Linked DNA regions of Styela clava. The protein of the gene in region 2 purifies or fractionates together with the protein of the main gene of each other region. This does not show direct contact. Links are inferred from orthologs where the notes say so. Each region holds a gene or a part of one and is shown on either strand. Other genes may lie near its edges.

The links. The genes of interacting proteins can lie anywhere in the genome.
Region 1: the proteins of protein lin-37 homolog (region 2) and protein lin-52 homolog purify together in Homo sapiens (affinity purification with mass spectrometry; 6 studies listed by BioGRID and IntAct, counting the BioPlex papers as one, with this or other methods). This does not show direct contact. The link is inferred for Styela clava from reciprocal best matches to the Homo sapiens genes LIN37 and LIN52.

Annotation. Positions count from the first base shown.
Region 1 is NC_135251.1:22,035,184-22,041,613, reverse strand, and holds protein lin-52 homolog, read right to left. Parts: upstream 1,680-6,430; coding exon 1,329-1,679; 3' UTR 508-1,328; downstream 1-507. Other genes in the region: D-aminoacyl-tRNA deacylase 1-like, read right to left, coding at 431-473; mannose-P-dolichol utilization defect 1 protein-like, read right to left, coding at 2,651-3,385.
Region 2 is NC_135253.1:13,439,526-13,446,055, forward strand, and holds protein lin-37 homolog, read left to right. Parts: upstream 1-4,107; 5' UTR 4,108-4,270; coding exon 4,271-5,020; 3' UTR 5,021-6,021; downstream 6,022-6,530. Other genes in the region: uncharacterized protein LOC120326047, read left to right, coding at 6,051-6,234.

The DNA of each region.
Region 1 (6,430 bases), on a different chromosome or scaffold from region 2:
GCTGAAATTTACAATTCAGTAAATTTAGGTGGTACAAAAGAGAGTGAGTGGCACAAGCCCTAGTGGTTGTAGCCTTAGGCTTGAGAGTGCTGGCATCGCAGTTTACACAACTCTGTTTCGAATCTCACAACCTTACCTATAGTGTAATAAATTGAGTAGGTAATGCCAATCCAGATAGATTACGGTCTTCCCAAAAACATTAGCCCCTATAAATGTTAAGTTAAATATCACTGGCTGCTTTAACAGGGCCGTGTTCAGAGCAAAACGCACAAATAAGTGTTGTAAAAAGTTATGAGGGTTACAGAATGATAGATGTCATTCAAGAAATGAGATGGCACAATTATCTATTTATCTGGTATTGTGATTTAAAATTTGTTTTAAAAAAGTTTTTCAGCAATGTGGAAGAATTAGAATAGACTTGTACTCTCACCCGTGACACTTGCTTTCATAACTCTTTGAATAATGGCCTTCATAATATCAGCATTTGGCTATGAAACTTAAACAAAGCTAGAGAACAACAGATAAAATATTGCCTATAAAATTGTATTGAGTATAAAATATAACAGACACAATTTCTGCCACCCAGGCCTTGTATTTAAAACACACTTCTTTGGTATAGAGAAAATCAACAAATAAAGTAAACAATATGAGGCCTGCAGTAACAGCATAGCACAATAATGCAAATAGTCTCATCAGCTTGGTGAGATAGCGAGATATGAGGATTTCGTAATAAAACATGTTCTGCAGGCAACGTCGCTTAAGGCTGCTCTAACTGTCATGAGGATGATGCAATACAAATTTAAAAACCAAGGACACCTTTTAATATCAATCTTAATATCTTTATTTGCATTGGAAGGATATGGAATAAATGATTCTATCTCCACTCTATGAATAGAGAGCTCTATAATTTCAAATTAGAAGCCATCATCATAAACATTCAAATGCTTCATTTTATGAGAAACTATATTTTTGTGCATCACATTTTGAAATATTTAGATTTGGTATGTTAACCAAATTGTCAATGTCTACAATCAACATCGGTATTTAAACAAGTTTCTAATACTCCAAAATCACAGCGCTTTCACAAGCTGGCTGACAAAGATATTACAGTATACAGTGAAAATTTGTTTTGTCAAGATATATGCATTGAAGGTTGCAGCAATCGTCCATGCTTATGTGATAAGCACATAATAACTGATAGAGATAGTCTCATATATTTTTATATCCATATACGATATTAACATACTAAAGCATTTTTTGCATAAAACAGCCCCCTCTCACTAAATTCCAGTATTTTAACATATAAATATTTATGATTTTTCCATATATCAACTCCCAAACAATTTTCCATTTCCGAGAATGTTCAAAAATTTTCCTCTTGTCATTTCACGAGATTCATCTAGTCCTAGTTGATAAGCAAGGTTTTGTAATCCACGAACTTTTTCCAATAAATTTGCAGTTGTTAAACTACCAAATTCCTGTAGCATATCAATATCGTCCTTTTCTAACTCTGCCATCCATTTTGGCGGTGATTTAGGTGACATCGGACTTCGTAACGCAGACATAAAATCTGACACACTCGACAATTGTTCTGGCCATAGATCTGGAGAAGCTCTATCAAGCTTTTCAAAGCTCATCAACTGTTCGTCGATATCATTTGGTTCAGATGAACTGGCCATGCTTTTAATATATAACTAAAACTATGTCCAAAAACTGAGAAAACAATTTAATTCAAATCACATGTTGTAATAGGCAGATAATGCATAGTACAAAGCTTACAAGTACTACCTAGTACTCTAAAATGATTTTGTTCAAATTTTGTTAAAAAAGCAAAAATGAATCCGATTTAAATACAAAATATTCAACGAATAGCGAGATATCTTGTTGCTACATTGGCTATCGATTGTTGAAGTACTTGGTGTTCAATTTCAATATTTGTCAATTTCATTCCTCTCGATTTCAAAGCAACTAGTATTTGTACAAGAAGCATTACTGGCAAAATTAGTCTTATTGTTCAATAAAAATAGCACTTTTTTTGCAGTTTTGTTGAATAACAGCATTCTAATTTACTCATCAGGTACGAGATTCAATACCAAATGGAAAAAAACAATCTTGTCAGACTTCTATTGAAAAGGGCACACAAATAAAATTTTACATAGCACTCTTGTCTAAAATTATTGAAAACATGCATGAATACTTGCTAAAATACTTGAAGGAAAACATTCTAATTTACTGCTTTGCTTGATGCAGGAGATGGAATATGACTTGTGCAATAACAAATACAAATATTGCTTCATAAAAGAAATTGGTTCAGTTAAAAATACAACTTTGATGAATAATTTTGATCAGATGCCAAAAAATTCTAAAACCCATTTGGTTATCATCGCAAACAAGTTTGTTTTTATTTATTATAGAATTATGTGATGAACCACATTGCATGCAAAAACAATATGCAGGATAAGATTTTGACCGAATGGAAAAAATGAATAAATAAAAACATTATGCCTTTAAATACTTCGAAAACATTGCGCAATAAAATATTATCTCTTCTAAAATAACTACAACAGTCCATGTATAAGAGAGTGTATTTCATCTGCACCCGATTGGTCTACTAATAAAAATTGGAAGTTTTTTCAGCCATCCTTCGACTTTATTGCTGCTTTTTCATAGAATTTTTAACATATTCTTCAGTGGCTTTCCAGTAATAAATGATTTGAAAAGATATTACTGCATTTGCGATTGTAGAAACTATATATGTAAGAATAACAATGTTGTCTCCAGTCTCTTGTATTGAAGTGAAAATTCTGGCAGTTGAACCAATGAAAGTCAGGAAAACAGTTATAGCCGACAGCTGTCCAGTGTGTCCATTTTTAATGCTTTCAGCTGCCTGAATCATCTTTGCTATAACTATGGCAGGCATGTTGCTTGCTTGAAGCGCTGCAAGAACATTTGTGGGAGTGATACCAGATACCAATACGAACAGTATGACGGAGTAAATTACAAGGAAGACGATGGCCAATTGAGGTTTACCTCGGTAGTATTGTACCAAGCAGGCTATAATTGTGACTTGGATGAGCAAAAAGAATGAATCACCCCATGCACTGAATGGAAAACTTCTAGCAATGCTGTAAGCACACATGGAAGTGATTGCATACAATTCCAACAGTACAGAAGAAAAACTCATTCCCACCGCACTTGATGACTTCAACAACTTTTGAATTTGAGGTACTTTTACAAGAACTGCTCCCATGATAATACCATATCCTAAGCATTTGCTGATCACTGCTTTCAGACATGGTACGTCGAGAAAATTGAAGTCAGTAAAAAAGATCTCATAACACACAGGAGTCATTAAAAAAGACATGAGACTCCGAAAAGCTTCCATAATGTAAGGTTTTGTCAGTCTAAGTACAGTACTTGATATTAAATTTTTAACAATAAGCTATTAGTTAACTGTATATTGTACAAAAATATTGATCTTTACTACCATTGAACAACTGAACATACAGCAAAGCAGCGCCTATTGTTTACTAAATCAACCATAAAGAGCAGAAGATCATAAAACAGAACTGACTAACGGACAATCAACCCAATCATACCAAAAATCTGTTATAGCTTATAGGCTATGATGCCTAATAAATCAGTACCGGTAAATGCAGAAATGAGTGACAAGTGACATACTGATGTATTGAAACATTCAATATGCAGATTCTTTTGACATCTTTTACTAATTTTATTAGGGCAATATCTAAGATACCTGGATACGTTATCTAAAGTCATCAGAGTCCTCAGCAAATTATCTGTAATTGAAGATAGACGTGCTTGCATCAGAATTTCATTTCATTTATCTTATATTTCAATTGACTATCCGTCCTTTGGAACCCGATATTGTACCGAAAAGTTTATTGTTTCATTTTAATTGATAAAAACACTTTTCATCCCGCCAAACATGACCGCCCTCGTCGCGTTTGTCAGCCGTGTTGCTCAGCAAAATCTGTGACTGCTGCCTTTCAAGTTAACGTTGCATACGTGCCCGCCATGAGTCATGACATGTTATAGTCCGGCAGATAAGGGGACCTTTTTGGCCAAGTTTGATTTCAGATATAAAGTTTTTAGGATAGGAGGATAGGATTTACATATTTATCCCGGGGGGGGGGGGGGGGAAAGCCGATAAGACGGCTTATCCATATGGCGAACCACGGCCTCTCGTCCGGTTACCATTCCAAGTCGGGTATGGGATTAGATTTTACTGTATTGTTTGTTTTCGGAAGCATGGACTTAGGGGTGGAGGAAGCCGTAACCGACCAGCGGTTACGTGAACCACCCACCCAAGGAGTCCAGCAATCCTCTCGCACATAACCATCCCTGCATGGGATTCGAACCTGCGAACCCACGCAGAGTAGTTAGAGGTGCGGTGGCGAGCGTATTCCTAACGCTTAGCCCTTTGAGCCACATCTTTTTTTTATTTGTGATTATTCATCTTGGGGTCATTGCCCATCATTTCTACATGGGTGTGGAGTTTGCAGCCTTGAGCAGCGGCTCGATATTTGTATTATTAGTGTTTTTCGTCAAACCTGTGCATCATAATGACGCACAACCTGTTACAATACTATGTTCAGGTTGTGCGCAATCTTGGTGCACAAACTACGCAAGCACCAAATTTACTAGGAAATAAAATCAATAACTTTTAGGTATTTGTTGAGCCCAGCTTTGGGTCGCGACCCATATACTGTACATATGTAAATACTGTCGAAAGAGAAACATACGCGTAAAATAAAGAGTACTATTTCAAAATACCGGTTTTTGTTGCAATTAACAATACAAGCCTGCTAATGCAGTCGCCAGTGGTTCAAGTTGATATACACCCTGTGGAGAACAGTCAATTATTTGTTAGCGAGAATTATTATGCAGCGGGATGATCACGACGACGCAGTGAAAGATAATGATATCACGAGAACAAGAATGAGTAAATTGCTACATTTTATAGTATATCCCTGGGAAAGAATGTAGTTCATTCTTATGTTCCATGCCAATGCTTTTCAAACTACCAAAGACTCTCAACACTTTTGCTTCTTATCTTCTATAAAAATACATTGTTATATATTATATATTCGCATTTCCATCTGTTTGTTCGTGCTCCCAGATAACCGATCAGCGGCCTCCAAGGAGGACGGGGTCCCCTTTTAAGAAACCCTGTCATAAACTAAAAGAGGCGACCGTGCTTCTCTTGCCTGTTGTCATGCTGTCCCTGGAATTCAGCTACAACAAAAATTTCACGAAAACGGATTTTTAAATTTTATGATTTTATTAATATTCTCAACAATGAATGATATACGGGTGGTAAAATGCCAAGTTATTCCAACAACTTGAACATGTTTTGCAATTTACAATCAATATTTTGTATGTAACTTTGTTTGACAGAGCCCCAAAAGCTCTAACTACAAATATCAAAAATGTGAGGCCAAAATAGTCACACTACAACATTGTCAAATGTGCTGTATTTACGATAGATAACAGGTTTACCAAAAAGAATTACATGAAAAATGGTAAAATAAAGATCAATTCAGCTATATCTACTTGGTGATATGCATCTGTTGATGATTTTATGCGTTTGTTTCGGAAGTTTAATAACAGAATTAATTGTGGTTGTTGGGGATGTTTTGAAAAAAAGTTGCATGGAAAAAAGTTTTCACAAAATGTCAAGGTTTGATAGTAGTAGAGAAGTAGAAAAAATACTCCCATGTTTTTTTTTCATTTGATAACCACGCCACAGAACTTCCCCGATAAGTATACGCAGCAATTGCGAGAGGCAGAAATGCCAAGATGGGATTTCATCGCATTGCAAACCAATATTAGCAATTCTTATATATATTCGCGCATTCCCATTTGAACAGCGTGGAAAAGATTATACCCATCTACACACTTTAAGAACTATGTCAGATGAGCGTCATATTATCGAATATCAGTAAAGGAATAGTACAATGGGAAAAGACATATAAGGCGGAACTTTCAGTAGTATGCAATCAAATAATCTTATTGGACACGTAGTGGACATAACGATCGTTTCAATATTATGTTGTTGTTCTTGTTCTTTGACACGTTTTTAAAAAGTCGCTTTTCTCTTCGAATACTGGACCAATTGCTTTGAAATTTTCAGTGGTTAAAGATTAATTTTTTCGCTAGAAGGCTATTACTTTTGTTTATTCTTAAATTTTATATGAATCCTATGAGATATGATATTTCATACAAAATACTGGCATCACCGATTTAAGGATGTTGGAAACCAACATGCAATATTACAAAACTTACTTTCAACACGCGGTTTGAATGAATGAAAAAGCTGAAACTAGTATTCTTTAGAACAGCATACAAATTCTATAGATTGAAATCATACACAAAAGCTCGTCAAAAACCTATAGCTCAATAATCA
Region 2 (6,530 bases):
ACAGCAGCAACGTTTTTGAAGGATCCAGTCTCCTAATTTCATCCACACTTTTAAAAATCTATAGTTTTCTCCATTTTGTTTTTCCCAGCTTTATTCCAGTGGTTTTTTTTTATGTTTTTTGGTGCAGTGTTTGCTGCCGTGGTTGAAAAATTTTTTCGCGTTAGAACCATTGAGGTTATGTTAACCCTCTATAGTTATATACACCTCAATGGTTAGAACCCGTACGTACCGATACCGGTATGAAAAAAATATAATATGGTTTATGATACCGGTAATGAAAATGTTAGACTTATTGTATTTTGATGTTATAACAACTCATACTGTTTTAATTGTTTACATTTTTTGTTTGCTATTTAATCGTCTCATATCTTACTTTGACATTCCTCTGCAAACATAAAAAAATTGATCATCATATTTATCAAATTCTAGAATGTTCGTTCCACCTTTATATTTAGTCATTTGAAATTGTGAATCTTAAACATTATTGCGTGAATAGGGGGAGTTGACTTTGATGACCGTCTAGTCGTATCACTCCCTCTTGTCTATACCAAACTAATTTATTGTTATTATTTATTATTACGATGACTGTTATTTTATTTTGGTTGGCGAAATAATAAATCTCTCTTTCTCTCTCTCTCTAAAGGAAAAAATGGCGTGGGGCCTATTTAGCACCCGGGGAAATGCCGCGAGTGCTGTAACACATTTTGTGATTGTGTGCAGGGATTGGTACGGTAAACGACAAGCGAATGCAAAGTGGGTTTAGGTCGGGCGAGTATCAGTATATGAACAAGGACGAATAACGGTGTGGTATGTGAATCAATGTGATACAGTGATAAATGCTTATAGAATATTTGGGTCTCGTGAAGCGAACGCCGTAACTGCTTAAAGCAGGGGTCTCAAACCCGCGGGCCAATTGCGGCCCGCAGGACGATAGTTTGCGGCCCCCGCCTTGGTATGAAAGTTTAATGTTAGTGCGGCCCGTAAGTCACTCAGCTCAGTTAGAATGATTGATGCATTTGATATATGATCAGGACAAGTAGAGCAAAACAAAATATTTTATAATCTATCCACCGAAAGGAATATGCGGTACGGTAACCTACTAGTACCGTACATGTAGGCATGATATTCGATGGACCTTTGACCCCGAAGAAAATTTTCTTATACTTCACCATTACAAATTCTTGGTGCTTATTTTAGAGGTGGCTTCGCGATGTTTCACGTCATCAATTTGATTCAAAACATTCAACAACCTGTTTTTCAACAGTACCGGTAGAGAAATTTAACCTAGTCTATCACAGCTATTTCTAGACTAATTTATGATTACGGCAATTAAGCTACGACGCCCAAGCAATCAGAATGATCATTGAGTTCTTTGATTCATACTTGAATTTCTGAAACACAACCCAAAACTAACAAATAGCATGCAAAAACGAGGTAATGTTTACAAACATGCCTGAAAATCTTTCTGAGTCACAAGTGTCTGAGCGTTTGCGGAAAAGTCTATTGTTACGTCACTTTTTGCGTCCTGCTGATTAGCCCACGTTACGGAATAAACAAGGAAGTAGATGCTCGGGGAAAGGTCCATCGCGATATTACTTCCATTTATATTTTTGACATGTTTCGCGTATAGAAAAAACAAAGAAAAAGATTTAACTTTTTAAGTTTAATGATTTTATTGTGGAAAACCCGATGCGGCCAGGACTCACCAAGGCTCCGTTTCGGCGGCCCCCAGGTATATTGAGTTTGAGACCCCTAGCTTAAAGGGTCTCGTGTAGTTTCGTACCTAACGTACTTCTAGTAGGCGTAGCATAACAATATTTTGACATGCCAATCCTAACCCTCACCTGACTACGCCATCCAAAAATTACGTCACAACACGTCATAGAGCTTGCCAAATACTCGTACGATCACCCGAAATGGCATCGGCGCCGACGATAAAGAACTGACTAACGCCAGCGGTCTCTCTCCTATCGGGATCGTTGCGACGAGAGAAATGGCTGTTCGATTTCGCGTTCTCGTCTGCGCGTCTTGGATGACAGTTCGCATAGTTTGAAGGGCTCTATTACGTCACTGTGACGTATTTTTTGGATGGTGTGGTGGTGGGGGTTAGGGTTGACGCGTGAAAAAATTGTTATGCTACGCCTACTAGAAGTACGTTAGGTACGAAACTACATGAGAGCCCCTGCTTAAATACCCCCAACACAAATGTCCGAATGTGGTGTGAAAATGAATGTTGTACCGTACCTGTAAGTGCTCAAATAACAAAATTATGATGTGAAAATACAACCCAAATTTATTTATTTTTTCTAAAAATGAAAGTCCGTCTTGCGCACACGCTGAACACAATACGCTAAACGCATGTGACAAACGGGAGGAAGACAACTCGATACGGGAGCAGTACCCGTGCGGTACGACGTTCATTTCACATCACAATTTTGTTAGGCGTTACTTGCTACAGGGGTGGTGACTCCTCTACGACCCATGGGTCGGGGCCACGGCCCATCTAATTGGGCCACATGGAAAAATTTAAAAAAAAAGGAAGGCCAGGAAAAATTTAATTATCTTACCAAAATTGTCAATATTCGAACCAAAAAATAAACTCCTGTAGTATGTGTACCAGGTTAGGGTTTGGGCAAAATTTTGTTCAGATTTTTTACATTATAGTTCTATTATGAGTTTGGGGACTGTTTGTGTTAGCCAAGTGAATAGTTTTTTTACACAACTTGATGGGCCGCGGCCCATAGCCTGATGGGCCGAGGCCCAATTTGATGGGCCGTGGCCCATGGGCCGAAGAGGAGTCACCACTTCCACTCGTTACTTGAGCAGTTACGGCGTTTACTTCACTAGACCCGAATATTTTCGGGTTTGGTATAGTTTAGTACCACGTGCACTTCCAGGCTTTTAGTTAGCCTGGCTCAACAATTTTTGTATATGTCATTCCTAACCCCCACCTGGCTTCGTCACATAAAAATTACGCCACTACTGCACTACCATGTCCCAGTAGCGTAATAAAGCCCTCAAGGTGTACGGATGATCATCACCCGAAATCGAGCAAGCTATTTTTCTCGCCGCAACGATCCCGATATGAGAAAGGTTGCTGGCTCTAGTGAGTTCGTTATCGGCGCCGATAATGCCATTACGGGCGATCGTAGCTATACTTCGGCACGCTCTATGACGTGATTGTGATATCGTAGTGACGCAATTTTTGGATGACATAGTCAGGTGGGGGTTACAGGTTTGGGAATAACATATGCAAAATTCGTTATGCTACGCCCACTGGAAGTACATATGGTACTAAACTATACTAGACCCGAAAATTTGACGCATGTTCACTAAATGCCGTGAGTCCTTCTATTTGGTATGGAACAACCATTTTTGCACATGTAATTCCTGGTTTCGCCATTGGTTACGTCACCACGACCTCACAATCACGCCCAATACTGCACACTATCCAGATTCCAAGAATTTGGCTCAATAGAGCAAACACTCCATGTGTCTCACAAATGAGGGGCGTCTGGCACCACGTCAGATCTTCATATCACGCCATGCCTGTCTCAATACTTATCTTTATGTTTCGTGATGTTTTTTGGTAAAATTTCTCGAATGCCACAGTAAAAAAAATTTTCCTTCTGTAAATCGGTTTATTTTTTCCTGGGGAATTCAACGATGACGTTATTAGATTGGGCTTTTTTGTAGTATTTTGCGCAACTTCATTATACTGTATTATTATCGATATTGAAGGACAACAATGTCCAGACGTCTCCCAAAGGAGGGGTGTTTGATCATCGGTAAAATGGGTTTCTCTGAAACGAGACAATGTCTCTCGATCTGTATAGTGTGCCGTACTGATGCCAAGGAGCTTGCCAAAGTATAGTCTAGCTAGGATTGCCCGAAATAGCATCTTCGCCAACGATAATGAACTCACTAATGCTAGCGATCTCTCTCATATCATAATCGTTACGACGAGAAATAGCTTGCTCGATTTCGGGTAATCATTTGCGCGTCTTGGATGGTAGTTAGTATAGTTTGGGGGGCCTCATCACGTTACTGTGATGTCGTAGTGATGTAATTTTTTAATGACTGGGGGTTAGGAATACCATGCAAAAATGGCTGTGTGATGTTAACTAGAGGTACTTACGTCGTGTTATGAACATGGCCCCAATTTTCGAACATGGTAATTATTTAAAAAATTATCACTACTGCTGTACTGGTTTCAGGTTCTTGATATTACCATTTACAGGTATTACGGTACTGATAAGAAGATTCACAAATGAAGATGTCTCAATATTCTTATGAACAAGAACTTGATTTTAATGAAGCAAGAGCGGATTTGGATAGTGTACTTCAAAACATTGTAGCAAAGGCTAATGCTGGAGATTCGTCTCCTGCCAGTGATAAAATAAATGACATTGAAAACATGTTGCTACAATCAGATAAAAATAAAACAATATCTGATAGCGAAAGTCCTCAAAAATCTAGTTCCAGGTCCACACGCAAACGTCGAAGAAAAGATGACAATAAAGAAGAAAAACAGAAAGCAAACTCTTGTGTTATGAAATTATTTGATCGAAGCGTTGATCTGGCCCAATTTTCAGAAGATACTCCGTTATATCCAATCTGTAGAGCTTGGATGAGTAATGATCCATACACAAGAAAGGTACATGGTATTCCATCTGATGATCTTGATGAGGCTTCCGTCAATGATGGAAACTCTGATGAGCCGGTTACAATTCCACCCCCTAATACACCATTTAAGAATTTTAGTCCTAATGGAAAATATGTGAGTGCACGTATCCCATCACCCATTCCTCAACCAAGCGATCGACTGGAAGATTATTTGCAGCAAAACAAGGTTATACCTAGAGCAGAAACATTGCTATTAAATCATTTACAACATTGGAAAAATGTTCGGGAGAAATGGATTGCAAAATCTGCAGAAAATGAAGAGCGTTATTCGTCTGGAATGGCACTATTAAAAGATATGGCAAACAGGCAACTTTGTGCTAGTAATCTTACATAAAGGAGTCACTATATCATAAAATGTCACTGTGATAATACTGTTACTGAGGGGCTCCTGAAGTATGCGAACCAAGATGGCGGACATCGGAATGTATATGCGTACTAGGTTAGGGTTAGGCCATAATTTTAGCTATAAATACTACGGGAGGCTCTTGGCTAGTCTTCGAACTGTTAATAGGACTAAAATAAGGAAAATTGGAAAAAAATTATCGCCTAACCCTAACCTGTTACCCATGTTACGTTCCGATGTCCGCCATCTTGGTTCGCATACTTCGGGAGCACCGTTACTGACTTACTGTAAACCTTTCAGTAACAGTGCCTCTGCATGAATTGGAGGAGATATAAATGTTATTTAGTAAAGAAGTAGGATTCAACCCTAACCTGGGACACAAGAATTCAAATAATATATCTGTAACCCCATATTACCAGATTTTTTTTTGTCATTGAAATACAATGGCAAACTGTTTTTAGTGATTTTTTGTGTTTGTTGCATAAGTAGCAAATGGTTTCAATTTTTCCAAAATCATCAATTCTCTCACATTCAGATTTTCATTTCATTTTCACATTTTTATATTATATGAGTAACCAAATTGAAATATTGTTTTTAACAATAAACTAATTTATTTTGGAAGAAACCTGTTTTTACCTCCCTTTCTGAGTTATTAATTTAAACTGAGCAGGAAACAATATAATTTTGCTATCAATGAGAGAGACAATAGTACGATAATCATCAAATTTAGTGACATTTGTTTAAGACCGACTAATTGTGATTGACATTTATACGAATATTGGATTTCCCATTTGTTACAATATTTGTCTAATTAATCCTCTCTAATGAAGTGGGGGGACTATGGCAGCCACGAAATATTCTAAATTTTATGTATGTTTTCCGTATGTTTGTGTATTATCTTTCTGTTGGGAGGAAAAGTTTGTCGCCTCAAAAAAATTTGCCCTTTCTATTTCTACCTTACTTTACATAAAATGTGATTTTCTATTTCAGAATTTGAAGTTTAGTATAGTAGCCTTTCAATATGGTTAAAATATTTGTTGGTAACATACCATCAGATTGTGCAAGAGCTGATGTTCTTGATATATTTGAAAAATATGGGAAAGTGAGAAGTTGTGATATCATCAGGAACTTTGCATTTGTTCATATGGACAATGAAGATGATGCGAGAGATGCCATTGAAGCACTTAACAACTCAAGATTCATGGGTTAGTACTTATGAATCAAGATATGCAATAGTCACCTTATTTTGCATTTTTGTATTGATTTTTTTTGGTTGCATTATGTAAGCTAGTTAGAATATTTTATTTGTTCCATATTTTAGAATTTAGCACATTCCCGAGAAGAGTTTTTAATTTATACATGATGAGACGATTAATTCATACTTTTTTTCCAACTCCTATTCCGTATACTGTTTAGGCATTTTACCATTTCATACCATACTGAGGCTTTCGACCATTTCCATTAATTGCAAGCTCATTGGTATCTGAGGATACACTTATGT